Linked DNA regions of Arabidopsis thaliana. The protein of the gene in region 2 interacts with the protein of the main gene of each other region in a biochemical or structural test. Each region holds a gene or a part of one and is shown on either strand. Other genes may lie near its edges. The genes, in order: SIP4, HA2, AT1G22290 and PSY1R.

The links.
Region 1: of the proteins of HA2 (region 2) and SIP4, one has a biochemical effect on the other in vitro, tested with the Arabidopsis thaliana proteins (one study listed by BioGRID).
Region 3: the proteins of HA2 (region 2) and AT1G22290 interact in far-western blotting, tested with the Arabidopsis thaliana proteins (one study listed by BioGRID).
Region 4: the proteins of HA2 (region 2) and PSY1R form a complex in vitro, tested with the Arabidopsis thaliana proteins (one study listed by BioGRID).

What each region holds. Positions count from the first base shown.
Region 1 is NC_003071.7:12,935,328-12,942,123, forward strand, and holds SIP4 (SOS3-interacting protein 4), read right to left. Parts: upstream 3,508-6,796; 5' UTR 3,246-3,507; coding exon 1,938-3,245; 3' UTR 1,652-1,937; downstream 1-1,651. Other genes in the region: AT2G30350 (Excinuclease ABC, C subunit, N-terminal), read right to left, coding at 1-82, 276-415; CHAL (allergen-like protein), read right to left, coding at 5,250-5,495, 5,949-6,124, 6,435-6,527, 6,663-6,796.
Region 2 is NC_003075.7:14,767,450-14,777,808, forward strand, and holds HA2 (H[+]-ATPase 2), read right to left. Parts: upstream 8,610-10,359; 5' UTR 8,472-8,609; coding exon 8,430-8,471; intron 7,417-8,429; coding exon 7,297-7,416; intron 7,198-7,296; coding exon 6,961-7,197; intron 6,853-6,960; coding exon 6,091-6,852; intron 6,004-6,090; coding exon 5,881-6,003; intron 5,802-5,880; coding exon 5,697-5,801; intron 5,594-5,696; coding exon 5,449-5,593; intron 5,360-5,448; coding exon 4,857-5,359; intron 4,758-4,856; coding exon 4,725-4,757; intron 4,633-4,724; coding exon 4,551-4,632; intron 4,448-4,550; coding exon 4,287-4,447; intron 4,191-4,286; coding exon 4,017-4,190; intron 3,921-4,016; coding exon 3,556-3,920; intron 3,465-3,555; coding exon 3,371-3,464; 3' UTR 3,116-3,370; downstream 1-3,115. Other genes in the region: AT4G30180 (uncharacterized protein), read left to right, coding at 1,579-2,055. UniProt on the Arabidopsis thaliana protein: The plasma membrane H(+) ATPase of plants and fungi generates a proton gradient that drives the active transport of nutrients by H(+)-symport. The resulting external acidification and/or internal alkinization may mediate growth responses.
Region 3 is NC_003070.9:7,875,238-7,881,452, forward strand, and holds AT1G22290 (14-3-3 family protein), read right to left. Parts: upstream 2,726-6,215; 5' UTR 2,679-2,725; coding exon 2,612-2,678; intron 2,535-2,611; coding exon 2,216-2,534; intron 2,137-2,215; coding exon 2,070-2,136; intron 1,963-2,069; coding exon 1,886-1,962; intron 1,790-1,885; coding exon 1,737-1,789; coding exon of another isoform or gene 1,729-1,736; intron 1,661-1,728; coding exon 1,593-1,660; 3' UTR 1,403-1,592; downstream 1-1,402. Other genes in the region: PAPP2C (phytochrome-associated protein phosphatase type 2C), read left to right, coding at 1-18, 122-259; GRF10 (general regulatory factor 10), read right to left, coding at 3,909-3,914, 4,013-4,050, 4,399-4,547, 4,629-4,738, 4,846-4,933, 5,141-5,447, 5,800-5,866.
Region 4 is NC_003070.9:27,215,408-27,224,177, reverse strand, and holds PSY1R (Leucine-rich receptor-like protein kinase family protein), read left to right. Parts: upstream 1-2,912; 5' UTR 2,913-3,211; coding exon 3,212-6,499; 3' UTR 6,500-6,810; downstream 6,811-8,770. Other genes in the region: AT1G72290 (Kunitz family trypsin and protease inhibitor protein), read right to left, coding at 7,679-8,326. UniProt on the Arabidopsis thaliana protein: Tyrosine-sulfated glycopeptide receptor with a serine/threonine-protein kinase activity. Regulates, in response to tyrosine-sulfated glycopeptide binding, a signaling cascade involved in cellular proliferation and plant growth. Not involved in PSK perception.

The DNA.
Region 1 (6,796 bases), on a different chromosome or scaffold from region 2:
ACGTTTCTTCTTTGTTCTCCAAGCACCACTAGTGATCTCTCCATTGTGCTGCCTTATTCTCCGCCTCGGGTTTACAGTGAACCTACCAACCAAACCCAGTTTATGCAATCAATCACTAAACATCTCATAGTCTGATTATTAAACACTCAAAATCTCCTATTTGATCAAATTTAAGTATTCAATCAGATAAACCCAGAAAATGTAAATCCTTTCTCAATCGAATTTGATCCAACAGAATCTTCAATTCCAAAATCAGAGATGAGAGAAACAAGTACCCGATATAGGTTTGACCCTTATGACGAGGGCTAAGAGAGGTCAAGAGATAACAGGCGAAGAAGCCTTTTCCATCTTTTCCGGTGACTCCATCCTCACCGACGGGATCTAGGGCTTTCCGATTTCCCCTTTTCTCTCTCATATCTCTTGGATTCAATTCGACCGTTGAAGACGACAGATTATTACACTAAAAAATCCGTTTTATCTCTTAAGGATGAGAATGGGCCGAAATGTATGATTAAGGCCCACTGTATTCAATGACCCAATTTTATAATGGCCCAATTTTTTATAATTCATTTCCTATACTGTATTTTGTTTTACTTGGTTCACATGACATTGTTACCCATCATGATAGTGATACCGTGATAGGTCTCCTATTGATTTTAGAGCTTATAAAATTTGCTCACTTATGTCAAATTTTACCGCAACTAAAATTTCAGCTTTCAAATAATCTCTCCTCATATTATATCCTCTTTTTCTTTTTACTTTTCAGATACAATAAATGATGGTTTTCAATTTTGAGTTTGTCTCTAATAAAGAATTTATTCTTAACTTTGGTTTAGTAGAGTTTTTGGTTTTTATTTTAGCTATATAGTAAACTTTGATTTCAGAGAGTTTGGTACAATAATATTTTTATGAGGAAATCACCCAAGTGAATAAAGAGAGTTTAGATATAGTCAAGAATATTCAATAAGCATTCTACTTTCCTAATTCACACCAAACAACCTAATTTGCCAGAGTTTTTCCATTTGCACCTAAAACCAAAAGGTGGGCAGAAACTATGGTGAGATGATATTAATTAAAATTTTAAATTGGCCAAACAAATGATGAGAAGAATAACAAAAGGCTGGTGCTTATGATGATGCTTTAATAATGATAATGATTCCTTAACCTTCACTCGTTTTGAGTTGTAATATCCAATCAAGTAGACAATAATAGCTTTTCTTTTTATAAAGCTGCAGATTTCAATTTTTGAAGTTCCCTGATTCTATACATACTTTTTAATGCTTTTTCTTCACTGGATGTGGAACTCCCATTTCAATCATTTCATTTGTTCAATAATACATTACACAAAGTTTTTCTTTCAAAAATGCTTTCAATTCTATACATAAATATTAAAGTGAAGAAGCCATATTTGATAAGCAGAAAAATGTATAGAATTGAAAGCCTTTTTGAAAAAAAAAAAAATGTGTAATGTATGGATTTTTGAGAGTTTAGATGAGTTTATGCGATTTAGAGATTATTTTATTTTAGTAATTTATCTACTTTTTATTTTCAATTCATTGGTTATTAATCTGATTTGGTTATCATGCACTTTAACTTAATACAATTTGCATGGTTGATTTTAAAAAGTAGTTATGTACAAATGTGTAAAATTGGAAAATCCAAACTATAAATAGAAGAACATTTTCTACATTATACAAAAGAGTGAAGTATCTACAAATGCAATTTTAGACTTGTTGTTGTACATAGTAACACATTGATCAAAAAGCACAAAATAGATACCTACAATTTGGTACAGTATTTAAATACATACATTAATTTTTATTATTTTTTCTCTGTTTTTAATTCCGAAACAAAAGTAGTAGAAACCAAATCCAACCAACGAAACGCGATTGGCGTTTTAAAATTGAAAGCACGGTAGAAAACTTCATAGCGTTCTTTTAAATAGCCGCGTTTGTTGACGACGTCTGATCGCAAACGCGAATAAGTTGAACCCTGAGTTTACCATTCCACATCTCCTTATAACAATCACCATCACCACCTCTCCGCCGTGCCTCCACCACCACAAGCAAATCATTCAACCGCGAAATACAAATCCCGATACCAAATTTCCCATTTTGCCCCTCCATCTCAAACCCATACTCTTCCTCCTTCTTCTTCTTCATCCTCAGATTCTCCTCTCTCGCAAACCCCTCCACTTCCTCCGCCAACATCTCCGGCGACTTTTCCGATAAAAACCTCTCCGATTCACCACTCGAATTACTACAACCAGCAAACAATCCCGACAAATCCAATCCCGACGAGTAAGAAATCAAATCAAACGCGTTTAAACTCTTCACAGCTTCTAGTGACGATTCCACTTTCTGATCTTCGATCTCGTCATCGTGGAACTTGATCTGTTTAAAACCTCCTCTAACAAACCAAGGATCTTTCAAAATCTCATCAATGGTGATTCTAGTCTCAGGATTAATATCTAAAAGACGAGAAACGAATCGTTTCAGATCTGGAGACATCCAACGAGGAAAACGATACTCTCCTTTATAAATCTTCTTATACATATTCATCACATTCGGATCGTTAAACGGTAAATAACCGGCGACGAGAACGAACAAGACGATTCCACAAGACCATACATCAACTTTAGCACCTTCATATCCTTTTTTAGATAGAATCTCCGGCGCAACGTACGCCGGAGTACCACACAAGGTATGTAACAACCCATCGGGTCGGATCTGATCCGTTAACGCGCTTAGACCGAAATCGGAAACTTTTAAGTTTCCGTTTTCGTCTATTAATAGATTCTCTGGTTTGAGATCGCGGTGGTAAACACCGCGAGCGTGGCAATAACCAACGGCGGAGATCAGTTGCTGGAAATATCTCCGGCTTAAATCTTCGCTAAGACGTCCATGTTTTGAGATTTTGTTGAATAGTTCTCCTCCTTTAACAAACTCCATTGCGAAGAAGATCTTTGATTTTGTCGCCATTACTTCGTGGAGCTTGACGATGTTTGGATGAGATAATCTTCTCATGATTGAGATCTCGCGTTTGATGTTGTTGGCTAGAGCTGGATTTGTGAGGAGTTTTTTCTTGTTGAGGATTTTCACGGCGACGCTTTGGCCGGTACGACGATCACGTGCGTGGAAGACTTTGGCGAATGCGCCGCATCCGAGAAGCTTTCCGAGCTCATATTTACCGAATAAGGCGTCGTTGTTGTCGCCGCTGCCGGCGGCAATCTCGATCTCTGGCATGATTGATGAATCCAGAGATTGATTGATGAATAAGAAAACTTCGCCGGAGAATTTGAATCTGTTTCGTTTGCGCGTAATGCAGATGTGATGAACACGTAAGCTAATTCTTCTTCTCTTTTTTTTTTTTTGGTTTTGTTGTGAATTTACTTTTTATGGAATAAGAAATTTGAAAGAAAGTGGTTTAGGTATTTAAATGGTGGAGAAGTGATGGCGTAACGCGGAAGCTTTTAAAAAGATAAGTTCGATAGAATAATAATGGATTAAGGGTATAAAGGAATTAGAGTTGCCTAAAAAAGGAGTTTAACTGAAGCACTATTATATGTAACCGTTACAGAATTTGTTTGTTGTCAATTAAAAAAATAAAATGTTAAAGTTTTTTTAACCCAAATTTTATATATGTGAAGCAGTGAAGGTTTACTGTTATAATTAACTGACACAACTACCTGAGCACACAATCCATCTATTCAACACATGAAGCCAAATTTAGCCGATAATGTAATTGATAGTCTTCACATAAAGCAACTGTTCTTGAGTCGATGCATATGTATATCTAGTTCCTTAAATCATATAGTTTTTTCATTTTGTACAATCGATCTACAGACTACAGTGTACACCTAATTATTACGTGGTTTTTGTACTCACTCAATTATTATGTTGTCGATAGTTTCTACTTTATTTCCTCTGCCTACGTGTCATGATCTTATCACTTAACTTACTCTGATCATAACTCTTCTCGTACTTTTTACATCTAAAACTATTCAGAATCTTGTAGTATTATAGTTAGAAGAATGTACATCAATAAATAATTGTTTCGTATATCAGTTATTTGCGTGTCTCATCGTATATGGTTGTTTTTTTATTCAACTCTTAGGTAATGAAGAATTGAAGATAGCGACTTGGTTAGTAACTTATACTAACAAAACATGTTCCACGAGGTAATGGCAGGTGTCTCTCACACACGTGGCAATATCCGAACGGTGGAACAAGTCGACGCGGCGCCGGCTTCAAGCTGGACGGTTCTGGATCGTGGGCCGGCTGTTGAAAAATCGGTGCTGAGATATGTTTCTATTTTATTTTATTTTTTAATAATCGCTGATTGCAGACTAATTATTTCTCTATTGTTTGATCTGATTGACTAATTATTTATCAGTTATAGACTAATAGCCAGGAAATAATAACCTTTGCTCGCGTCGGTAATTTGATTATTTTTCTAACATAGAATAAGAAAGAACTTTGCACCAAAAAAAAAAAAAGGAATAAAGAACATGGGCCGTACCATATTCACATCCTGATTAAACTTTCGTCTTTACATAAAAAACCTTTCAATAAGAAAGAAGAATCAGTCAGTCAATGACTGCGACTTTAAAGAAAAAAAATGACCGCGAGTCTGCGACTTTAAATCCTTCAAACTTTTATATATGGGCTATGTGTGAGTGGTGTAAGGTGTATTTGGATACGTAATACGTTATACGTTAGCATATGTTTTCTTGAATATTATCAGTGTGTACGAATAGATTAAATTGAACGAGCTGAGACTACAGAATTTAAATGAAATCAACGAGTCCCGCAGACAGATGTTAATAGTTTACTTATATGTATATGCTAAGAGTAATGTTATTGGGCTTTTGGTTTATTTATGTTAGTCCATATGTTTATGAGCCTAAACCTATGTGATACTTATTAGAAAGCGAGTACGTTTTTTTATTTTTTGTTCATTATAAGCAAGTACGTTGAAGAAGAAGACAAGAAATATGTTTCCTTTTGACACCAAATGTTGATATTATTCATGAATTATGTCACCATATACGAAATCATATGCTAAGAACGTCATATCGTCTATACGAGCATCATCAATCAATTTATCAGCAAAAGTTTCACGTTGAGGTTGTCCTAGCAACATGTCAATGTATAATAAATATTTGGAGTAGAGGCAAGATATAACTACGAACATGCATATAATTCATATATATAATGTATATATGTGAGTATATATATTATAAAAGATCATGGCATGTACAACTTGTTGCCGCACTTGCATCTCCAAGCTTCCGGGTAGTATTCGGCGGTGACAGGCGTGCCGGGAGGCACCGGAACGTGAACAGGCTTGCACGGAGTGCATCTTCCACACTTGGAGGAGCACCGTGGTGGAGATGAGCCCAATCCCCTTAGAATCCTCCGTAGCTCTGCCTCCTTGCTCCGGTCACCGATCTTCCTAGTCTTCTTTATCACTACGGTACTCTTGCCTTCCTCCTGAACACATACTCAAAACGTACATATTATCACATTTTTCATTACTAAATATATATTCAAACGTATACATATCCTAATTTATTATTTTCTTCATTAGGATAATACATCTAGTAAAACAAACCAAACAATATGGTTAATCAAGAATAATTAGTATTTTCTAATTAACGTTCAATAATTAGTATCTTCTAGTGAACTCAATTTCAGCTGCTATCAACATAAGATAGTGAGAGGACTGCGTTACTAACGTGCGATTTCATGCTGACATACGCATATTATTGTTAAAATGCGCAGTTTAGGTAAAAAACATTTTTAAGACAGGGTTGGGGATGTGAGACAAGACGCGGGAAAACCGCTCCGGAAAAAGCGCTACGCACATTACCAAAAAGGGCAGAGAGATTGAGAAGTTCCAAGAGCCTGTCATACGTTAACGTGCACCGTGGGGGCTAATATTACCACTCGATCGAGATCGTAAGCAAGGCAGGGTCCCACGAGTGGTGAACGAACCAAAAGTTGAGTACTGTCCTTGTCCTCGTGTGCGCTGAAACCAATCCGACGGCTGAGAATTTCTTTAGGAGTACATGGCATCTCTGCATGCCCAGTCAGTCTCGACATGCCGTCACAGTCGCTGACTGTTCAAGCGCAGTTTAGCCACAACCCTTTTGTTTGTGTAGTCCTTTTAGAGAACCCCGCATTATAAGCTTATATTATTTATGGAAAAAAAAAAAAAAGCTTATATTATTTTTAAAGTGTGTTTAATGATGAATCAACATCAATCTTGTCCTCCAAAGATGCTTGAATCAGGAGAAAATAGAAACTAAGCTTTTTTTGGATTTTATGTGGTTATAGTTATGCCAAAAAAAAGGAAGTTAACACGGTTTTTGATTCCTATTTCCTAACTAATTGTTGACTCAACAGCAAAAAAACAAAAACAATTGTTACTTGTTAGATCACGCAAGAGAGTAAGAGGTATAAACAGTTTACGAACCTTTGCATAGAAGTTCCCTAGTGTCCCAGAGTTAGAATTCCTATTATCTGCATTTTTACAACAAGATAATATATGAATGGTACTGTAATAATTTATGTTACGTAACCAAAAATATTCTAAGATATTAATGTTTGAGAAAGTTGATAATTAATATGATAACGAGAAAAAGAAAGATGGCTTACATGGAGAAGAAGTCGAAGTGGGAGTTATAGTGAAGGTGGCAATGACACAGAGGACGAAGAAGAGTAGCAATAAATAGAAGAGACTGAACTTGGCTCTCGTGTTTTCTGATGGTTGTAATGATGATGGTAATGAT
Region 2 (10,359 bases):
AGAGAAATAAAATTTCCTTGCTGCATTGATTGATAATCTACTAACCCTTGACTTTTTTTGTGTGGTAGGATAAAGAACACAACAAAACCAATAAGAGATCATTCAGTTTTGGCTATTAACAACAAAAGCTAGTAACGTGTATATTGCATGTATCAAACACTATAAGATTAAGAGACAACTTGTAATGTCTCAACCGCCCATGTTTAGTAGTTATAGATATTGTTTGGACATTTTATTGTTATTATTATTATTATTATTATTATATATATATATATATATATATATCTAAATGATTCGGTATATATTTTAAAAAATAAAAATAAAATAACAAATGAGTAACACCCAGACTTTCATATCATATCAAAGGTGACCTTTTGTGTCAACATAAACTATATTTATCTATTTACAAATCCTATAGGAAAAATTAAAGTCATCTTTAAACCTGGAATGCAATGATGCTTAGAATCAAAAAATCACGACTAAAAGTCCTTGACAAATAAAACGTATTAATAACCCAATTACTGACCACATGCATCTTAACTTTATGTTAATATGCGTAGTAAAGAAACTTGTATCTACGTCATATTAGTTACAGTGGCAGTAAAATTCAGTTTCAAAGATGTTTGTCTTGATATGTTGTACAGATCACCAATTGAACTACCACTAATAATAACTAAATTTCTGTTTAGCAAGTTACCATCTGTATCCAAATATCGCAAAAGTAGTGGGTAGTGAAACCCAAATTCATCACACATGCAGCATAAAAAAAAAGAAGGTCAAATGGTATATATAATATGAGGGAGATCTATATTAAGATAATATGGGTAGAAATGACATAGATTGATCAAACTAATTAGGAGATTGGTCCAAGGACACATACACATGCATACATGTATTATGTATATACAAAGTGTGTGAGTGAGTGAGTGAGAGAGAGAGAGGTTAAGAGGAAGGAACATGTGAAAGCATTAAGAGAAGGTGGGGTTTTGTATTGATGTCTTGTTCTTGGAATGGAGCCACATGGTAAAAGGGTCTCTCAAAGCACCTCTTTAGGGGTAGTTGTGATGCAGCCAAATTAGAGCTCTTGCATGTGACTCCATGTGTTTTTTCTTCCCTCACCCATTATTATTCCCAAATTCTTCTTTTCTTATTTTTCTCTCTTTATTTATGTATATATATATATATATATATATATATACACACTCTCTTTTTGTTTTCGTGTATTTTCTAAAAATAAATGTATTATACAAAAAAACATATATTAGTTGATGATATTCAAATTCCGTTGTTTTTAAAATATTTGTCTAAAAAAGAAAACTACTAACTACGACTTTCAAATAGTCTTGTGTTTTGTACGTGAACGAAAAATAATAACACTCCCAAACATATTACCTCATATATGTATACAAAGAAAATTAAGTTCTACAACTTTACTTTATACATCATCAACGCTTGTTATATACAAACAAACGTAGGACACCGCTCTTCTCTTTCTTTGTCTCTCTCATATTCTAAGTTTGCTATATATGTAACTTTCTCCCTTGTAGACTTTCATTTGCAGCAAAAATAGTTTCTCATATGGAGAGGCAAATCATAAACAGGAAGAAACGAGTGTTTTCTCTTGAACCAAACAAGAACCCTAGTGCAGTTTTCACGAGAAAATACACAAGCCACTTGGTTCCTGCACTCAAGAAGCTCAACATGAACAAGAACTCTTCAAAACAAACCGTGAAGCATGAAGTAGATATGGCTTTGGCTTTGTCTGCTCAAGAATTTGCATGGAGCCGTTTCTTGCTGCAGAAGCTATCGTCCTCATCGAATCCAACCACTACCACTAGTTCTTCTTCCGATGGAATTCGGATTCTTGAAAGACCCGATAAAGAAGGCGGAAACGAAGAAGGAGGGATAGAGGAGAGACTGAGGGAATTGAAGAAGCTTTTGCCAGGTGGGGAAGAGATGAATGTGGAAGAAATGTTGAGTGAGATTGGTAACTACATTAAATGTCTTGAGTTGCAGACGATTGCTCTCAAGTCCATTGTTCAAGATAGTACTTGACTTTTAGTTTAAGTGTATAATTTATAGTTTGTTTCATGTTTTTTTTGTTGTCTTTAAACGAAAATCATCTGTGTTTTTTTTTTTCTCTTGATTTCTTTAAGAACAAGAGCATGTATTATAGTGTTTTTCTTTTTTCCTTTTCTTAATTAATCATGGTTACCGAAATACCTAAAGTACCACACATGGCCGTTTATACGTACATCTTATAAAATTCGATCAAAATCTGATTGAAATTTAAATTATTGGTTGTAATGCCAAATAGACGATGTGCTGCCTAAAATAAAACTCTTATGTTGTCTTTTTTTCCTGAATTTATTATTTTAATGTTATGAGCAAATCTCCAAACTTTAATATTCTAATCATTTTAACCTGACAAACTTTGTGTTTGTGTATATATTTATATTCCTGCAAGTTTTTTTTCTCCTTTAGCGAAAACATATGAACTTTCGACTACAAAAAATCAGATGTAACAAATCTTCAATTAAATAAAAGCTACACATTAGTAGAGATCACCAATATGTTCCAGCTGCAGTAACTACAGGTGCACCATTAAAATGTAAACAAAAATTAGGACTACTGGACTAGAATTACTTTCCAAAAAATTCGATGAATATGAAAAACAAAACGCCGAAATTGTAAATATCTAAAAAGGAGGAAAGTTGGATGACATATGTGTAAACTATGAAAGTCATAACATTGATTTGAAGTCATCATCCATATCTTTGCACGTGTCTCACAGTCACTCGCACGCATCCAAATCTCTCTATTTCTCTTAAGATTCTAGCCGTACTACTTCCACACAACTTGTCTCATGTCATGTTTTTAATGGCATTTTTAAAGGATAGTGTTATTTAATTGATTTGGTTTCAGTGAAAAAAAAAAAGAAAAAATTATGGTTATTTCCCTTCTTTACAACAAACAAAATTTGATTTAAATAAGCAAATTGTTTGTTGTCCCTAGGTATAAATAACATTTAGGTACTATATATAAAAGTAAAGAAGCCGGAAGAAAAGTTGGATTACGAAAAAGAAGAAGATTAAGATTACATAGGCTCATGGAATAAGAGCAAAGAAGAGAATGTGCATGTGCCAAATGCCAAACACAAAGGCATGCCTTGTTTCTTCAAAAGAGCAAATTATGCAAAAGTACATATTTGAGAAACAAGAACACTAACAATAAGGTTTGGGAAGAGTTATGGCAATAAACAAAGATCTCTCCCTATGTGAATAATAATCATAAGAGGTGGTGAAGAAAAAAAGAAGAAGAAGAAGACAAAACATGAGAGGATCGAAGATCAGTCATATGTTTGGTTTTACTACACAGTGTAGTGACTGGGAGTTTCAATGTCCAAGCCCTTTAGCTTCACGACTGATTCCACATGTCCCTTGAGTGTGTGCAGCTCCCTAAGCCTGTTTAACATATAACAATTCAATTAGTGTTTAATTCCAACAAAAAAATACACTTAGATTAAAAAGAATCGTGTGTGATCGGATTTATTACCTAGCGATCTCAGCTCTTCTCTTAGCTTGCTCAGCGATCTCAGACAATTCTCTGTAACTTCCTTTCTCAGGGAAGATGTTAACAGCTTCTTTTGGCTGTAAACCGTGAAGTGTCCTTTGAGCAAGTGCCCATTGAGCCTCTCTCTCTTCTTTTCCGTAATCTTTCTTCATCGTGAAAGCCGTCTTGTTCTCAAACAAGTTGAGCCACGCCTTTCCGCTCAAGATGTATCGAATGGCAAACTTGAAAACGTCCAATGGGAAGTATGTGACAATACTGTATAGCCAGATCACACCAGCCCATCCCCATCCAATACCCCTAATCTTTGCAAATTCCCAGTTGGCGTAAACCGCAATCAAAGTAGCAATCTGCATTTGGAAGAATGAATGGATTTAACGGGTGCTTCTTTGAGAACCTTTTTACCAAACAAGAATTCCCTTAAAATGTTGATTTGATGAACTTACCAGTTGTGCAATGAGGAAAGCAATCATCAGCAATGCTCCAGGACGTTCAACAAAAGACCAACTCCTTGATCTTGTGACGAAGATCAGAGCTTGACTAATGATACTAACTTGTAAGTACACCGCACCCATTAGCTCGTGGTTATTGTCCCTAATGGACCTCACACCGAATGTGTCCTGTGAATCCAATGTGAAATTTACTTTACAACTCTGAACAAGAACCTAAGAAAAAACTTCTGTAAAAGAGAAATTAATTAGCTCAATTGTATGTACCGAGAAAAAGTCAGTCTTGTGCGCCGCCCAGAAGAAAATAACAGTCATGATGGCCTGGTAGCCTCCTAGAACGACTCCAGTAGCAAAAATTTCTTTAAGTTTCCAGCTATCAGGTGTGGGAGATGGCTTAACTCTGTCCTTTGAGATTGTCATGATGGTACCTATAAGATCAAGATAGCAACACAATACCAAAAGATATAAGTAAACATTGTAGAAAAAGTAAACAAATTTTGAGGTTTATACAAAAGGACAGCCATTGCTCACCGTCGTTAAGAATGGCAATGATCAGAACCATGAAGGCTGAGAAGTCAAATTCCCATATCAAAGCAATAAGCATGAAACCAAACTGCAAAAAGTTTCAACGCAATATGATCAGCATACTATTAATCCAAGATAAAACCAACAAGGGCCAGAACTCAAACGGATTTATTTGCATACCACAATACGGATGGTGATTGAGACTGCATAGATCTGTAACAAGAGAGAAAAATAGAACAGAGTAATTAGTTTCAATTGCAAGCAAGCAAGTGGTTGGAATAAATTAAGGATGAAAAATAGGAGAAGACGCACAGTATAGTTCTTCATTCTCTGGAAAATAGCTCTGCTGGTGAGAACAGCACTGATAATAACGCTGAGTCCAGGCTCAGTGAGCACGATATCTGAAGCACCACGAGCAGCATCTGTAGCATCAGCAACAGCAATACCGATATCAGCTTTCTTTAGAGCAGGGGCATCATTGACACCATCACCAGTCATTCCAACAATATGCTTCCTCTCCTGCAACTTTTTCACAATTTCGTATTTGTGCTCTGCAATAAAAAAAACAAAGCTTAGAACTAACATCACCACCTTTGCAATGAACATATAGTGAGGTTTATAATCCAAACAATAAATAAGCAGATTATAACCTGGGAAGACTCCGGCAAATCCATCAGCCTTTTCAATCAACTCCTCAACAGGAATGGATGCGAGGTTTGCGTCTTTGTGTGTACCAAGAAGAGCCGAAGATGGATACATGTTTGTTCCCATTCCAAGTCTGCGACCAGTTTCCTTACCAATAGCAAGTTGGTCACCTGGCCACATATGTGTTCAAGAGAATGTTAGGGGGAACTTGTGAAGGTGTATAGCTAGCACAACAAGATAGATGGGTAGACAAATTTACCAGTGATCATCTTGACGTTAACACCAAGATTCAAAGCCCGTCGAATTGTTTCAGCACTGTCATGTCTTGGGGGATCAAAAAGTGGCAACAAGCCAACAAATTCCCATGGCGCACCTGGGCTTTCCTTTGTTTTCTCTGGCACCACCTACAAAAGGGAATAAGAAGACAAACAGTTGAACATTTGTTACCACTGAGAAAAGAAAAGCAAAAAGGGACTGGAACTATCAGTATTAATGGCGAATAAGTACCTGGCGAGCAACAGCCAACGACCTAAGACCACGCTCAGCATACTTGTCAATAATGGAGAGCACCTTCTTGCTAAGATCATTGCTGGCTTTGGCAAGTTCGAGGATCTGTTGGGAGAATCAAATCAGTATAAAAAAGAAAGGTAAGAAAAAAAAAGGATTAGCTTGTAAAATTAAGATCCATCACCTGCTCAGGAGCACCTTTACTGACTCTGTGCCAGTTACCACTGCCGTCAATGTAAGTCAAAGCAGTTCTCTTATCCACAGGGTTGAATGGAAGGAAGTGAACTTCCCTGATTCCAGCTCTAGCCTGTGAAAATCCCAATCAAACATCAGAACATGTTTCTTGGACGCTCAGTAAAACTACAAATAACATGTGAACCAAAAAGGGTTATACCTCCTTTGGATCAGCAAGCATCCCAACCATGGCTGCATCAATGGCATCCTGGTTCTCAACCCTGGAAGCCATAGCTGCAAATAATAGGACTTGATCTTTCTCCACACCCTTGCAGAAAACCTCGACCAAGTTTTTGTCCACACTCAATTTGTTGAGGGTTAGTGTCCCGGTTTTGTCACTGCACAGGACATCCATTCCTGCCATCTCTTCAATGGCAGTCATACGCTTGGTGATGGCACCTTGCTGAGACAACCTGTGAGACCCAATAGCCATGGTCACGGACAAGACTGTAGGCATAGCAATGGGGATACCACCGATCAAGAGGACCAAAAGGTTGTCAATTCCATCTCTGTACTTTCGGCGTTGGATCGGATACATGACGATGATCTCAATCACCATACCGATAGCAATGGAACAGATACAGAAGTTCCCAATGGCTGTAAGAACCTTCTGGAAATGTCCAACTTGGTTAGTGCTGTCCACAAGGTGAGCAGCTTTACCGAAGAAGGTATGAACCCCAGTGGCAATAACAACCGCCTCGATTTCTCCTTGTTTGCAGGTTGAACCAGAGAAAACTTCTTGACCCGGGTGCTTGGTTACAGGAAGGGACTCTCCAGTTAGAGCAGATTGGTCAACCTTTAAAGGATCACCTTCAAGTAGACGGGCATCAGCTGGGATAATGTCTCCTAATTTAATGCTAACAATATCTCCTGGGACAAGAATAGCAGCTTCTTGTTCACTCCACTTTCCATCCCTAAGAACCTGAAACAGAGAAACATCACAACAAGAACCAAAACATTAGCTCTAGGGAAAATTCAGAAAGTTCTGTATAACAAATTCACACCATTCATTCTCTTATCATATATATACCTTGGTTTTAGGAGCAAGACCAGCCATAAGAGCAGCAGCAGCATTACCAGCATTGTTTTCTTCGATAAAACTGATGGTAGAGTTGATAACCAACAGACAGATAATACCAACAAAATCCTGCCAATCCGGAGGCCTACCATCACCGTTGGCCAAAGCAATGGCCATGATTGCAGCCATTTCCATGACCCATGAAAGTGGATTCCACATAAACCCCAAAAACTTCAGAAGTTTGCTTTCCTGTCAATTTTCATTGCACAAATCACCAAACACTCAGTAACAAAAAAAAAGGAGACCAACTATGTATTTTATCTGAGAGCTACAAATGCAAAATCAGACCTTTTTCTCTTCGAGCTTGTTGGGGCCAAAGATCTGAATCCTGTCCTCCCCTTCCTGCGTTGTCAATCCTTCCCTTGAACATTTTAGCTGCTGGAAAACTTCCTCAATCGGAATTTTTTCCTGAAAAAATCAAAAGCAAATTCGATCAGATGACCAAATCCAAACAACTCAAACTTTCACATACACAAAACAAGTTTCTAAACCTTAAAAAGGAGAAACCTTTTCTTAAGTAAAACAGAAAACTTTGATGATTTTGTAACCGTAGATAAATCTACTCTGTTTCATAAGTACAATAGTTGGAAAAAAGTCGTTGACTAGTTCGGTGACAATGAAATATTTTTGGCGGGGGGGAAATAGCGGTGGTGAAGTGGGGACCGCCACCACCGACCAACGTGATGGCGACGTGAAACACACGCGCCGAAAGATTCCCCTCACTTCCCGGCGTAAAAATCGAGGCTTGGTCGCGTAAATACAGTCCAAAGTTATGTAAAAGTAGCATTTTAATAAAAAAGATTCAAATTATTGTCCCAAGAAACACAGAAAAGAAGTTACGTCTGCACAAAAGATGTGTTCTTTTTTGTTGGTTGCTAAAGACAGAGAAGTTAAACGTACCACGGAAAGGTACAACCAAAAAAAAAATCCGAACTTCGTGTTAAGTAACAGATTTGATTAAAGTCATATTTATTTTTTCTAAATACCACCAAATAAATTCTTACTAGTAACCAAAAAAAGAGAAGACAAAACATTGTACAAGTAGGTTTGGACTTTATTGAGACGTAGCTAGCTCCACCACTGAAAAAAGAGACTCTGTTTTCTTTATCTTGTTTGTTTACTAGTATATCACATGCTTAGATCTACTTTTTTCTCATGAACAAACTCTTCATGTCCTCCAAACGTTTCTTAGACTTAATTACTACCCAGAAACAAAAATATAGTCTTTCTAAACAAATTTCACATATTCAAAACTAAATCGATGAAAATGTATATATAAAAAACGAAACCATAATGAGAGTAAGTAATAACCAAGGAAAGACTTTAAAGCCACCAAGTGGATACAGATCTACTCTCATTCAGGCAGATCATCGAACAGTTTGTGAGCATAAAATAAAAACAGAGGATAAAAAATGGTATACCAGATCAACAGTCTCGTTCTTGATATCTTCGAGACTCGACATCTCTCACCACTCCTTCACTGAGAAAAACGACGGCGAATTAGTACTCAACACGACAGCTTTGTCCGCCGTTTCACTCGATCATATGTATTCCGGCAAAATAGAGAGAAGGAGAGGAGGAGAGATTAGGTGGTTCTGTTGCAGAGTCGATACGAGTCCTCTTTTTATAAGCCACTAAAAACGACGATTTTCTCCGCCGTTTTGGCTATGTGGGTCCCATTACCAAGTAGTCTCTCTATATTTATTACCCTTTTTATTTATTTTGCTGCCTCTTTAAGTTCTTAATCACCCTTTGACCGTTGATTAATGTAATATTTTTGGCTTATGAACCCGAATCAAATTTGTATATATTTTGTGGGTCCTAATTACACTTTAATTATGGAATAATTGTTCATTTTAAACAACAAAATTTTCTACCGTTAATAATTCTTATTTTCTTTTTATTTTGAGATATTTTGATGTTTTATAGTAGTTTGAAAAGGGACTCTAAGGAGGAAGTAGCTTATAAGAGAAACTAATTTGTAATATCTCTTTTTTTAATTACTAGATCATAGACTTTGGTGTTTTTTTTCTTTCTTTTGTCATGAATCATTATATCAAGAAAGAAATATTTGGTGGAGGTATACATTGCTTGGATTTTTTAATTTATATTTGACTAAGCAACATACTACTTGCTGCTTAGCCTGTCCTCTTCTTCATTTTTCTTTTTTTTTTTTTGGACACCTATTAGGTTTTGTTTAAAGAAAGATATTTCTTTCTGAAAATTTCAACTAATACTATATTTTCTTAACAAAATCGTTTTCCAACTGGTTTAGGTTCGTTTTTTCTAAATTTGTTTTTTCGATAAGCAATAATGGGTTACTTCGGTTTTGTTTCCATTTTTTCTTTCTCAACCATACAAATACTTCTCCAAGCCAAAACACTTTAAATCTCTGAAATTTTGACAGAGATGCTTATAACAAAAACTACATACCTTGATTAAGCAGGTAAGAAAACTACTTTTTCTTACTATTTTTACATTATATCAGTTGGTGTGGATCGTAATTAGTTACGACGGACTAATTTATATAGTAGTAATTTGTAGAATAGTAATTTTAATATATATAGTTATTTGTGGCCCTAACGTTGATAATGAAAATATTGGCCCTTCCAAGGTGTGCCTCATGGCAAGGTCAGCAATGGGAACGATGTCACATGTTAATAATTGAATAAAAACCATAGTGTTAATTAAATTTGTTCCCTCTGAAGATATACTGAGAAATTGACTTTTGATTGTGATGGGTCCCCCAATAATACAAAGTTCGTCATTTCCAACTCCTCTACGTTTTAACTTCTTAGGATTCATGTCCTAATTAATAAGTGTTCAAGTCTAAACAAACGTCTCGTAAATTAGGTAAAGAGAATATGTACAAGATACGAAAATCATTTCTTGTCTTTTCTTTTCTTTTCACAAATGATGGATAGAAAAATTGTAAACAAAATGATTTTATTTATCACATTTTTTTATCATGGGGTAACAAGTTTTAGATTATTGTATACAGTAACATACTTTACATATATATCATACTATTTATTTGAATAAAATACAAAAAGACATCACTTATTTACAGTTTGCCACAATATTTCTTTACCAATATAATTTTGGTAATCTAGTAAAATAAGTTCACTATGTATTTAATTTTGCAGCTCAAATGAACCTTAACTAAATTATTTAAAATATAAGATATAATATATTATCATCTAGTTGACTTAAATGACTCTTACAAACACATTTAAAAACTTATCATGTCATATATATGAAGGAAAGAGGCAAAATTTGTCCTTAATGCACACTATACATATAGAAAAGAACATCTGAATAGCCATATATCATATAACTACTAGCATAGTC
Region 3 (6,215 bases), on a different chromosome or scaffold from region 2:
AGTGATGGCATCTGGAAGGTAATAATGGCTTGTTCTCTGTATATATTATTCATCTCTTGTTAAATGAGTGTTTTGAGACCATTTTTGTCTGATTGTTTTGTTGTAATGATCATGTTAATAGGTGATGACAAATGAAGAGGCAATGGAGATAGCGAGAAGAGTGAAAGATCCACAGAAAGCGGCAAAGGAATTAACAGCTGAAGCATTGAGAAGAGAGAGTAAAGACGACATATCTTGTGTCGTGGTCCGATTCAGATGACAAACTCTCTGAAAGGATACTTACGGGGAGATGGGTTCCTTATATAATAATTTCAATCAAAGATTCATCAGGACAAAAAAGCTTGTTTTCACTGGATTCGACTCTGATGATTCTGGTTCGGTTTAGGACCGGTCTAAGTTTCAATTTGTGATTAGCTGCTTCTTGCTATAGCTTATGTGCGTTCGTTGTGTAAATTGTGTGTTTTAAAGACGATAAGAAAATGAACAAAAAAGGAGTGGGGAATGGAGTTTTGTGGTGGGTGATGGGGGGTTTTGTTATTATAATTGGTTGATTTGTTATATTTAATCATCGGGATATAAATATTAGGATGTTTTTACAAATATGTGAAAGTACTTTTGGATTAGGTTTGCATATATATATGTTAACCAAAGTGTTTGCTATTTGTAAGAGATTTACATTGCCAAACAAAATAAGCAAAAGTTATCCTTATCATTGTTGTTGGTAAATGTCATTATCCTTGGAAGGATTAAAAATAAGATGGATCAGTTTACTACAATTTGGTTGTGTTTTGTTGTTATAATTCTAAGCAAAGTCTTTCAGAGATTGAGATGTTGCAAATAGTTGCAGAAATTTATCACTGAAAAGGGTTTCATTATTGAAAGACTTAGCTTAGGCGTTGAAAAACTTTCATTGTGTTTTATTTGTGGAACTGTTTGCAACTGCTATAGAGGAAGATGTACCAAGCAATTCTCGAGTTTTCTTCCTCAGTGCTCCAATGGGATTATAGTATTCATTTGGCTATAAAAAGAAAGAATGAAGAAACGTCGGTGACAAGCAATGATTCTTTAGGTATACTCCGACAAACAAAACCCCAAATGGTGTCTTATATTCTGAAATTTCAACACAGGAGAAGCAAGTTAAGTGTAAAACAGATTCCAACCCATCTTGACTCAGGATATGCATCAAGAGTCGTTTCTTTTCTCGCATAGGATTCAAGATTCAGTTCTGCAATGGTATAGTAACTCCATTAGCAATGCCAAAATGAAAAATATAATCTTCAAGTAGCTTAAATTTTGACATAACTGGCTTTTTCATACCTTTTTCTTGGGGCTCATCACCACTTTTGGATAAGAGGAAACAAAAAAAAAGTTGAGTGTATGATTTGGAAGAGAACAAGAAACTAGTATGCTAATTGGTTTCTTGCAACAAAATTTGCTTGAATTCAACAACTTGGCGTTTAAGCAATGAAAGATCCACAAAGCCGTAAATATGTTCCCAAGCATTAACATTCGAATCAAAGTTTAGGCTCCTCATAACAGTACAAGAACTAACAAAATTTCACAAAAATGGCTTATATTGATTCCAAAGGAAACTATCTATCTATCATCAGAGGAGGCAGATAGGGAAATAAAAAGATTACCTCCTCTCTTTCTGTGAGGTCTAAAGTCCACATGTTGAGATTGTCTCTGAGTAGCTGTATAATAAGAGTCATGTCCTTGTTTGATTCATCACTTACTGTCAAATTCATTAATTGCATCATCGAACGCTTGCTTTGCCAATTGGTATGCACTGTACAACACACAGTTTCACTGATTCAGACTGTTAGTAAGTAACACCACACCGATTTCATTAAATAATCATATGTATGCATGTAAGCAAAGGAACCTTTCAGGAGAGTTTAAGAAAACAGAAGTCCAATTCAAAGTCATGTATAGCTGGAACTGTTGGTACCAAACCAGTCTCTGCAGCAGTAACAACAACCAACATTGCCATTACCAAAACACAAAACATATTGTTCAGTTTATTTTGTTCCGAGCTCAAGGCACAAAAACAAACATGAGCCAAGGACCTTATATGCATCAAGAGACTGATCAGTAGCTTCCTTGCTTTCAGCATTAGAACTGAAGTCTGCCAGCCTGGAAAGAACATAAAGTATAGCCAAAACAGTGCAACACTTTTGCGCCTCAAGCACCACAACAACACATTTTCGCTCACATATTGTAGAAAAGAACAGAGGAGTCCACAGTGGTAGACGATGGAATGAGTTGCTTATTGATGACGGACAGGATGTCATTACAAATTTTGGCAAGCTCATCTTCAACCTTGTTTCGATAATTCTTAAGCTTCTTGACATTTTCCTCATTTCCTTTTGACTCTTCCTTTTGCACAATGGATGATAGTATTTCCAATGAAGCTCTCCTTGCGCTAATCACATTCTTGTACCCCACTGATACAAGATTTCTCTCCTTTGCTGATAGCTCCGCTTTAAGCTGAACACTTTTCTTCATCGCTTTCTTTATCTCTTCAAATGTTTCTGCAACAAAACATTTGGAGTATTGAGTAATGTGAAGGCATGTTAAGATTCAAGAAGTTGTTCTGGAAAAAAAGTACCATTGTAGCGCTCGCTTGACGAAGAGAGACTCGCGAAGTGAACGTGCGTTGATTGTTCATTCTCCATGGCTTTTCTTCTTTTTCTCTCTTAAACAATAGATGCTTGGAGAAGAAGAAACTGTAATCTGTATTTCTTGCTCAAGACTTTTCGATTTCACTCATCATTTTAAAGAATAGAAAAGTAAATGAGCTAATGACAAGTGTCCTATTGGCGCTGGATCCAATAGCATCAAATCTGTTTTGAAGGTTTCAGGTTGATTTGGTGAGAGTTGGCAAAGATCGTCACCATGATCCTCTGTTTATTAGTCAAACCTAATATTTGAAGGTGTTGTCTCTTTGCTTTTGACAGTTGTAGCATTTGTTGTGCTAGCAACAACTCACCTAAAGAATTTAGAAGTTGGGCCAAGTGAATACTTGAATTGATCATTTGTAGCTCAAAATTGAAGTTTTCGATAGATGTATGAAATTATTATTCATTGGACATATAAAAATATTAAAGAAAACACTACAAAATCTCTCGAGGGAAGTGGTCAATTCGTGACAAAAATGTTATTTAGATGGTTGACAAAAAGATATCTGATTCTATAAGGATTAACTGGTTCACAGTTTGATTAACATGTTTTAGACTTTGAGGGCTCTCGATTGGATTAGACACAATGAGTGTTGGTACGAGTTAGAGAGTTTGTGATAGCATTTGGTTACAATTACAACTTACAAGAGTCCCATATTTAGAGCATAGAGATCCTTTTTGAGGGTCATGTTGGGAGAACCAAACCATTATTATGTCACACACTTACGGACCAAACCACCGTAGAGAAACACACTTGAGGATGATTCCTTGGCCACAAAGAGGGCAAACATCCACAAATTGAAAAGTTGTGAAGTTTGGGATCACTTATGCAAATTATTAAGAGCCTCTTGAATTCAGACTTTCATGATTTTTGCAAGGAGTTATTAGTTATTACAAACTTCGAATAAAGCTTTGTCTGTTTTGGTTTTTAATTTTGAGACCATGATACGCCTAATATTCTGATAAACAAAAACCCAAATCATGCCTGCTGGCTCAATTCAACAACAAAAGAAGCAAACTAAGCGTAAAACAGAATTCAACCACATCATAAGAGGGTTGAAGATACGCAACGCAGTGTTGTGTTGTGAAAAGTTCAAGAATCTGGAAAACACCATCAAGAAAGACATAGATTAAAAATTACACATTCGAGTAACAAACAACGACACTTACTGTCTTCACTTCAAGATTCAGGATGCAGCAAGAGTCGTTTCTCTTCTCACAGAGGATTTAGTTCTGCAATGATTCAGTAATTCCATGAGTGGTCTAATTGTCAATGCAAAATGGAAAAATCAGTAAGTAGCTTAACTTATAACAAAACTGGCTTTTCATACCTCATCTTGAGGCTCATCAGCACCTTTGGTTCTCTCATCTAAGAGGGGAAAAAAAAAAGGTGAGTGAAAAAGCTTTGGAAGAGAAACAAGAAACTAGTAATGTTTTCTGCTACAAACATATAACTTTTACAAGATTAGCTAGAATCCAATAACTATGAGATGGTAGATTGGTATGTTTTTTGTTGAGGCTTTCAAAACTAAAATGAAAGATCTACATAGCAATACATGCATAAAGGACGGTTTAATTCAAATATAGACAGATGGTTAATGGTTACGAGTTCCCAAACATCAACATTTTTACTCCAAGGTAACGCTCTTAACAGCTCATTTGATTCTAAGGAAACCATTTGATCATGAGATAGGGAAACAAAAGAAAATAAGAATACCTCCTTCCTCATTAAGGTCTGAAGTCCACAAGGTGAGATTGTCTCTAAGTAGCTGCATAATAAGAGTGCTGTCTTTGTATGATTCCTCGTTGAGGCTGTCAAGTTCAGCAATTGCATCATCGAATGCTTGCTTAGCCAATTGGCATGCGCTGTACAATACATAGTTTCATAGTGTCAGAAAATGACCACAGATTCCACTATTATGTTCAATCCAAAATACAAAAACAAACCTTTCGGGAGAGTTCAAGATCTCATAGTAGAAAACTGAAAAGTTCAACGCCAAGCCAAGTCTAACTGGATGTGTGGGTGCCAAACCATTCTCTGCAGCAGCAACAGCAGCCTACATTCCCAGTACGAAAAAAGCAAGACTTGTCTTAGGTTATTCCCAGCTCAAATATAAGAGGGGTGGCACAAAAATAAGAAAACAAATAAACATGATCAAAGGACCTTATATGCTTCAAGAGACTGATCTGCAGCTTCCTTGCGTTCAGCACCAGAACTGAACTCCGCAAGATAGCGATAGTAATCTCCTTTCCTACATAGAAAGAAAAAAAAACACGTAAAGTCAAAACAGTGAAACAAGGAAAAGTTCATGAATCATCATCATTTCAGGAAGAACACAAGCAAGAGTGGTAGCTATGTAATAACTTAAACATTTAACTTTAGTCAAACGGAAATGATCTCATTCTTAGTCACACAAATATCACATGAATGGTCAGAGTATAATAAAGATGACACTCACATTTTGTAGAAAAAGACAGTTGACTCCACAGCGTTAGACGATGGAATGAGATGCTTATCAATGACAGACAAGATGTCATTACAAACTTTAGCAAGCTCATCTTCAACTCTCTTACGATAATTCTTAAGCCTCTTGACATTTTCATCATTTCCCTTGGACTCTTCCTTCTGCTCAATGGAAGATAGTATTCTCCATGATGCTCTCCTTGCACCAATCACATTCTTGTACCCTACAGATACAAGATTCCTCTCTTCCACAGTTAGCTCCACATCAAGCTGAGCAACTTTCTTCATCGCCTCCACCATTTCTGCATCATCACCAACAAAAAAAAAATATCCGATCTTTGAATTTGCTTCCAAAAACGTAGATCTATTTCATTTTCATGCTAAGAGATTCGACAACAGTAAGTATAAAATTATATCAAGATAAGATCAAGAGTGATCAGAGTATCTAAACAACATTAAACAAGAAATTACTTAAAGGTCGCATCTAAAAGTCCAGATCAAGTAACAGCCCAGAAACATACAAATCGGTAAAGGGCTACAAAGAAAATCTATGGAAATGTAAAAACAATTTCGATCGGAGCAATAAAAGATCGGATTTTTTCAGAAACATGAACAAATCATTTTCTGAATAGAGATCCAGAAATCGGAAAATACCATCGTATCTTTCGGTTTGCTCGGAGAGCTTAGCCAAGTAAACCTGCTTTTCCCTCTCATTCTCCATAGTTTTTTCTTCTTCTTCTTCTTCTTCTTCCTTCTCTGTCTCTCTGAAGTCTGAATCAAAAATGGATGCTTTGATTTGATTGATTTCGAGATTAGTAGTAACCCTAGGATCCTCTCATAGTGGTATTATATCAGCCGTTGGATCTACTTTTTTTAGTCAACAAAACTCAGAAACATAAGTTTTATAAATTATAAAGTAGCCACAAAGGTTTAGTTTTTACACAGAAAGAACCTAAAACTAATATATGTTTCTTATTAAACCCCGATCTAGTCAATAACGTAAAAGGTTAACGACGCTGACCGTGATAAACGGAGAAAGACATGTCCTCTTGTCCATTATTTTAAGGGTT
Region 4 (8,770 bases), on a different chromosome or scaffold from region 2:
CCAAAAAAATGAAAGTATATTGAATCTTGCATACAGAATCTTTATTAAAAACAATTTTGATTACATATACTTTGAATGGGTTTATTGTTTAGGTGAGATTTTTGTGCTAGGTTTTGTCGGGAGATCGAAAGGATTTTAATTCTCAAGTCTATTAATGCAGTACTACTAATTTGAAAACCGAAATATGAGTTAGTTTTATTTTTATTTTTTGTTGCATAAAACTAGTAAAAGTTTAAAAATATAAAGACAATTTGCTTGCTTCCCTAGTTTTTATGATTATTGTTAAAAAGTTGATTGAATGATCAAATGGGTTATTGGAATACAAAGACCAAAAAACACATGCAAAAGATATCAACTATTCAAAGTCATAACTTAAATCAAAAACACATGTAAAAGATATCATCTGTTCAAAGTCATAACTTAACTCATCACACACATAAATAGGTAATTGTAAAAAGCAAGTGGTTAGATTTTGTTCTTTTTGCATGAGCTTACCGGTCCAACTCAATATAGGTTATATCTTTTTGACGACCAATATAGAAGATAAGCTATCTCCCAAAATAAAATTACATATATATAATAACATGTATTGAATTAAATACTATTTGTTCTTTTAAAGTCAAACGTTTTCTCTCCCTTAATTAAATGAAAATTCACGAGGAGAGCCTAGATTTAGGGTCGTCAGAAAATAGAATACATTTAACATATGCTTATTCACACCTGTAGAACAAAAAATAGTGTTTATGTTATTATCACTTGACTGTTATTTTCTGTTGATTATTTAAAAATTTCAACTAGTTGTTCTTAAAATATTTGCAAATGGTACGAAAAATCTAAATAGCTGTATCTGGGAGCAGGAAAAATTAAAATAGCTGTATACAGTTTATAAAAGGACAAGTAATATATTACAAAATATAGAAAAATGCCAAACACAAAATATACATTAAATCAGGATCATGATACATGTTATCTTTCAGTTGAATTGTATATATAAAAAATGGAATATCCTAATCCAAGTCGTCCAATTGCCAAATTTTATCCCCAAAAAAAAAAAAAAAGTCGCCCATTTTATTTGTTTTTACAAAATCATTTTCTCAATTTAAAAAGAAGAAGAAATTGTCAGACGAAAAAAAAACAAATTAGGACGAGTTCTTTTCAAGATAGATAAACAGATATGCCGATGTGCTGTGTTTTGAAATGGATTCATATTAGAAAATAGCAAAATAATAATTAAGAAGTTAATAACTTATAAGTAAAATAAATAAATGAATACAATATTTATTGGCTTTTCCTTATTCTATTCTAGGCCAGAAAACGACAAGCTTTATTAAACCTGGATTTTGAGGTACATGAATCTCTATAAGTATAAGAAATATATTAGGTGGAAAATAAAATTATTAGAGATTCTATAAATTTGATTGAACATAATAAAAATTCAGTGGAAAAACATTAAAATAGATGTGATCGTCTTTTATCGAAAAGCTAATAATATATTATCGTTGTATAAAGTCACAAGAGTTTATTTTACGGTTTATTCTCAACAATCTGAGCCTCAGAATTCTAAATTTCCTTCTTTATTTTAGATGATAGAGAGATAAATAAAGCATACATAAAGGAGGTCCAACACAACTCCAAAAGATTGTTCGGTATTATTTAATGTCAAATCTTTATATTCGATTCCACTAAAGAGATAACTATTCTTACCATGTCTTCGTAAGCTCTATCATGTTAAATAATATTTAGATAGAAAAACAAATTCACACCATCATTACTTACTGCTCCTAAACACTAGTTAAAGTATTAAACGCATTAATCATGATAGATTCTATTTAATTGGACTTCGAAGAACTCTCTTTTTAAAACATCACTCCAAATAACTGTTTTTGATCGTCAATAATTCACAAAAACACAATTTCGGTTTTAAAATTAAGTAACTTCTTATGACTTATTCTAATCGTATGAAAGTGATAAATATAATATCACACAAAATCTATACTAATGTTTTTTTTTGGGTTATAGCCATTTAATAAGTACAATTTCTGAAAAGTCTAAGACAGTTAATTTAATACGGTATTGTTTAAAGTAACTTGTTAGCTATCATATACGCCATTTGCTCATTATAAATTACGAAAAGAAACACACACATGAACAGCTTGAAGGATTTTTATAACCCTAAGAAATCAAAAAGTCAAACAAAATAAATAGTATCCTTTACAAAAAAAAAATAGTTATCATATGATCTTCTTTATCTACTTTTCGTTCTTTATGACCACTATCTAATGTTAAATGTGGCTTCCACTTGGCATAATTAAACATAAAAAGATCCTCCATAAGGCAAAAAAGTAAAGAAAGAAATGGACAAAAATAAATAAAGATGAATTACATATTCTACAATTTTAGAGGATATAGAAAAAAGTTGTGTAACACCACCACCACTACGAGCCACTACTACTAAACCAGCCGCCCCAAAAGGTAAACGCCTCTACCACAAAAAATAATCATCATAATACTATTCTTCAACTTCTTCTTTTTTATTTATTTATTTTGATTTCATATCATAATGTTTGTACCCATCATTATTATTTTATGATCAAATTCAATTTCATGATCAACATCATAGCACGCACGCATGCACCTCCCACCTCCAAAGATTGAAATGACCCAATTTCAAAATAAATCACATAAAACGTTTTTTAATCTTTCTTAATCATGAATAAATGACAGAACAAAACCAGACAAATGAAATAAGTAAAACATTTTTCATTGGTTCATATAAGTAAGGATATATAGGGCTGACTTTAATAATTACCAGAGCTATTCAGAGAGTTGTACTTGAGCTTTTATTACAAAAAGGAATAATAATTTATATATATATATATATATATATATATATATATAACTTTTTAATCAAAAAAAAACTTTACATAAAAACAGCATACCCACAACCACAATCAGGGCAGAAAGATAACATGATAAAATAAAATAAAATTTAAAAGTGAACTTTGGGTGTGACAAGAAGTTTTCTTCTGTTTGGTCTGACTATTCCCTTTGGTCAACGATGGTATTGAGAGCCATTTACAAGCTTCGGACAGAGAAACCCAGATTGGATAATCATGTCTTTTGTTTCTTCTTTTCCCTCTCCTTCTTCTTCTTCTTTTTCAAGCTTTCTTAATCTTTCTCAGCTTCTTCTTCTTCTTCTTTTGTTCTCGCCATGATTGACGAGAAGATGAGATCTAAATCCATTGGTCCTTTTGTGAGACAAGTAAAACCTTTGAGTCCTCACATGGTTCTCTTTGTCCTTCTCTACGTTCTTTCCATTTCTGTCTTCTTTCTTACAGTTTCAGAGGCTGTTTGTAATCTTCAGGATCGAGATTCTCTCCTTTGGTTCTCTGGCAACGTATCATCTCCAGTCTCTCCTTTGCATTGGAATTCGTCCATTGATTGTTGCTCCTGGGAAGGAATCTCTTGTGATAAGTCTCCTGAAAATCGTGTTACTTCGATTATTTTGTCCTCTAGAGGACTCTCTGGCAATCTTCCGTCGTCTGTTTTGGATCTCCAGCGTCTCTCTCGTCTCGACCTTTCTCATAACCGTCTCTCTGGTCCACTCCCACCTGGTTTCCTCTCTGCCCTTGATCAGCTCTTGGTTCTTGATCTTAGTTACAACAGTTTCAAAGGTGAATTGCCACTTCAACAATCATTTGGCAATGGAAGCAACGGAATCTTCCCAATTCAGACCGTTGATCTCTCCAGCAATCTTCTTGAGGGAGAAATTCTCAGTAGTTCTGTTTTTCTTCAGGGTGCTTTCAATTTAACCAGTTTCAATGTCAGCAACAACAGCTTCACGGGTTCTATCCCTTCCTTCATGTGCACAGCTTCGCCGCAGCTCACCAAACTGGATTTCTCCTACAATGATTTCAGCGGTGATCTCTCTCAAGAATTAAGCAGATGCTCGAGGCTAAGTGTTCTTCGAGCAGGCTTCAACAATCTCTCTGGTGAAATCCCCAAAGAAATCTACAATCTTCCTGAGCTCGAGCAACTCTTTTTACCAGTCAACCGTCTTTCTGGCAAAATTGATAATGGGATTACTCGTCTCACCAAACTGACATTGCTTGAGCTTTACTCTAATCACATCGAAGGAGAAATACCCAAGGATATAGGTAAGCTTTCGAAACTGAGTAGCCTCCAACTCCATGTCAATAACCTCATGGGTTCTATCCCGGTTTCTCTCGCCAATTGCACAAAACTCGTGAAGTTGAATTTACGGGTTAATCAGCTGGGAGGAACTTTATCGGCGATAGACTTTTCCCGGTTTCAGAGCCTCAGCATTCTGGACCTCGGAAACAATAGCTTCACCGGCGAATTTCCCTCCACGGTTTACTCATGCAAAATGATGACAGCAATGAGGTTTGCAGGCAACAAGTTAACGGGACAGATATCTCCTCAAGTACTGGAATTGGAATCCCTGTCGTTCTTTACTTTTTCAGACAATAAAATGACGAACCTTACAGGGGCTCTCAGCATTCTACAAGGCTGCAAGAAGCTTTCTACTCTCATTATGGCAAAGAATTTTTACGACGAAACGGTACCAAGCAACAAAGACTTTCTTCGGTCAGATGGATTTCCAAGCCTCCAAATTTTTGGTATCGGTGCGTGCAGATTGACAGGTGAAATACCAGCTTGGCTGATCAAGCTCCAGAGGGTAGAAGTTATGGACCTGTCCATGAACCGATTCGTGGGGACAATTCCTGGTTGGCTAGGAACTCTTCCAGACCTTTTCTACTTGGATCTTTCCGATAACTTTCTAACAGGAGAGCTTCCAAAGGAACTGTTTCAGCTGAGAGCTCTGATGTCGCAAAAGGCATACGATGCAACAGAGCGGAACTATCTGGAGCTGCCGGTTTTTGTCAATCCCAATAATGTCACCACTAATCAGCAATACAATCAGCTTTCCAGCCTCCCACCTACGATATACATCAAGAGGAACAACTTGACTGGGACTATACCAGTCGAGGTTGGGCAGCTAAAGGTTCTCCATATCCTGGAGCTTCTAGGTAATAATTTTTCTGGCAGCATCCCAGATGAATTGTCAAACCTCACTAACTTAGAGAGGCTGGACCTGTCCAACAACAATCTCTCCGGTAGAATTCCATGGTCACTCACTGGACTCCATTTCCTGTCATATTTCAATGTTGCAAACAACACTCTCAGTGGGCCGATACCCACAGGGACCCAGTTTGATACCTTCCCAAAAGCAAATTTTGAAGGAAACCCCTTGCTGTGCGGTGGTGTACTGCTAACCTCCTGCGATCCAACTCAGCACTCTACTACAAAGATGGGTAAAGGAAAGGTCAACAGAACGCTTGTTTTGGGGCTTGTCCTTGGGCTTTTTTTTGGCGTCAGTTTGATTTTGGTGCTGCTAGCTCTGTTGGTGCTTTCTAAAAGGAGAGTAAATCCAGGAGACTCTGAGAATGCTGAACTGGAGATAAATTCCAATGGCTCGTATTCTGAAGTCCCTCCAGGGTCGGATAAAGACATAAGTCTTGTACTGTTGTTTGGAAACAGTAGATATGAAGTAAAAGACCTGACCATATTTGAGCTCTTGAAAGCTACCGACAACTTCAGTCAAGCTAATATAATTGGCTGCGGCGGGTTTGGCCTTGTCTATAAGGCTACCTTGGATAATGGAACGAAACTGGCGGTTAAGAAACTCACAGGAGACTATGGTATGATGGAAAAGGAATTCAAGGCAGAGGTAGAAGTTCTGTCCAGGGCGAAACATGAGAACCTGGTCGCTCTACAAGGTTATTGCGTCCATGATAGTGCCCGGATACTAATTTACTCGTTCATGGAGAATGGTAGTCTGGATTATTGGCTGCACGAAAATCCTGAGGGTCCAGCTCAGCTGGATTGGCCAAAAAGACTCAACATTATGAGAGGAGCAAGTAGTGGACTAGCATACATGCACCAGATATGTGAACCACACATAGTACACCGAGACATCAAGTCCAGCAACATCCTTTTGGATGGAAATTTCAAGGCATATGTAGCAGATTTCGGGTTGTCAAGATTGATCCTTCCATATCGCACCCATGTAACAACTGAGCTAGTGGGCACATTGGGTTACATTCCCCCAGAGTATGGACAAGCTTGGGTAGCCACTTTGAGAGGTGACGTGTACAGTTTTGGTGTAGTCATGCTCGAGCTTCTCACAGGGAAAAGACCAATGGAGGTTTTCAGGCCAAAGATGTCAAGAGAATTGGTCGCATGGGTGCATACTATGAAAAGAGATGGGAAACCAGAGGAAGTGTTTGATACATTGCTGAGAGAAAGTGGAAATGAAGAAGCGATGCTTCGTGTGCTTGACATAGCCTGCATGTGTGTGAACCAAAATCCAATGAAAAGACCAAACATTCAACAAGTTGTAGACTGGCTAAAGAATATAGAAGCGGAGAAAAACCAAAATAACAGAGAAGAACCTGAAGAAGAAGAAGAGACGTAACTGTGTGTGTGCCTTCCTTCCCTACATTCATCATTGTGACCAGATTCAAATATCTGCATAAGTAAATATACACATATTTTTCTTGTCAATTGCATATGTTAACCATCATTTCCATGTAAATTATAATTTTGATGGTAATAGAAGCTTTGATGATGTAAAGAACAGGAATTTATGCAGCTCGTGACATTCAAACGATTTCTATATACATGTAGCTCTCTAGCTATGTAAAACCCTTTGGCTTTAACATGATCAAAAGCAGATTTTTATAAAAGGATTTGATTAGAAATCTGGAATGTATCGTATGATCAAACCAACTTTGGCTTCCATGAAATTTCTCCGTTCTTAAGAGGTCTAAGAAAACAAAAAAATCTGTGATGCTAACAGAATAACTCAAGTGGGGTCTGTAAGCGGCATTTAATCGAACATTTGGTGTGCATAGTTACCAAAGAGACATTGAGTGAAAAGAAAGAGTCGTATGACGCGCGAAAGAAGACAAAGCATGAGAATCTGAGAAACTGAGACATACCTAAACATCAATGGAAGATTCAGAGACAGAGAGAGAGAGAGAAAAAAAGAGAGAGGTTTTTGTGAAACGAAAGCTTTTGATTTAGACTTTTAAAACTTATTGGATAATATATGTCTTGCTAAACGTCGTCGTTTTGAGTGTTTTTGGGAAAATAAGCTATATAGAGTAACGCCAAAAAAAGAAACCCTATCGTGATCAAAAGAATAGTGTTACGTTTCTTTGTTGATAAAACCTTGAGATACTCCTCAAATATCTTAATCTCTCAATTAAGCAAGAGACATACACGTTTATTTATCCGGTTTGATTAGTCGATGTCACGAGATCCACGTCCGGAGCTAGATTCTGTCCAGCAAGTTATACTATGAATGATCAATGTTTTCTCAAGCTCAAGATCTTTACAAGAGGAGAGAAAATTTTCGGATACAAAGTAGAATGAAGAAGAAAACTATTTCATGCCTTAAACAGATTCAACAGCAATGCCTATGAATGATTCTCAACATCTATGTATCTGGATCTGGCCACATTTTTCTTTCTTATTAATTGAAATTTGAAAATAACTCATTATTTTAGGCCATGGACGAGTCTCAGGCTTAATATTACAATAATTTTTACCAGTTGATTAGTAGAACGGGAACATCCTTAGACCTAAATTATCAACCCGGGAAGTATAAGTTGCTAGTAGCCGTAGTAGCATCATCAACCTTTTTGAATTTGACGAGTAAGGTCTTAGCCGTATCCTTGGTGATAATTAGTTGTGGTGCGCTTAACCAAACCCCTGGGATGGCTCCAACGGTTCCGTAAAAGGTGGTCAACTTATAAACGTTTGCTCTAGCTCCTTCTCCAGCTTTCTCAATCTTAAACGAGCTATTTCGGTCCCCCATTTTACCACCGATGAGAATTGAAGGCTCCTTGGGAGCTGATGAGGAATCATCAACTTCCCAAAACTTGGAAAACTCCTTGCAAAACGGCCAGATGTTGGACTTGAACTCGATGTTTACAGCCGAAGATGTCATAACGGTTGATCCTACGCCAAGTGCTAATACGAAGCTAACCGGTAGGCCGGGTTGGTAGGGAAGAAGTGTTTGGGTGATGCCAAGTGGACAAAAGGGAAGTACTGTAATGGCGGCTGGGACAAGACCACCTCCGTTTTTACTCTCGGTCTTAACCGGCTGGATGAAGTATTGTTCGCGGGTGTTAAGTGGATTTCCGGCTGTATCCTTCACCGGTTCATTTCCGTGGGTGCAAATAGTTGCAGCAAACAGGAGAATGATGAGAAAAGAGATCACTGAAGGATTCTTCATTTGTGATTGTTATGTGTGTTTTAGGGTTTGATGTTTCTTTTTTTGGTTTGAGTGAGTTGAGTTGTAGAAAGCATGCACATTGTATCGGTATTTATAGGAAGTTTCTGCGGTTGCACAAAACACCGCGTGCGACCCTAAAATGAAAAGATTAATCTCTCATTTTTGTTAAATTAAACCTTAAATTTATCAACTTATTTCTTGGCTTTTTCCTCATGCCACATTCTGATCATCCCGTAAGTATGGGGGGAAACAGATCATCACGTGATGTGTTTGTTTCTAGAGAGGGAGAGTAGAAGAGATGGGTTAAGGCTCTTTTTTATATATCAAAGATGGGTTGAGAGTCTATGGTAATCGATTCAGACTTTGAGTTTCAGCACGATCGAGGAACATCCGAACATGCACAATGATCCATGTTCAGAAGCAGGAAAAAGGACGATCAAAAAA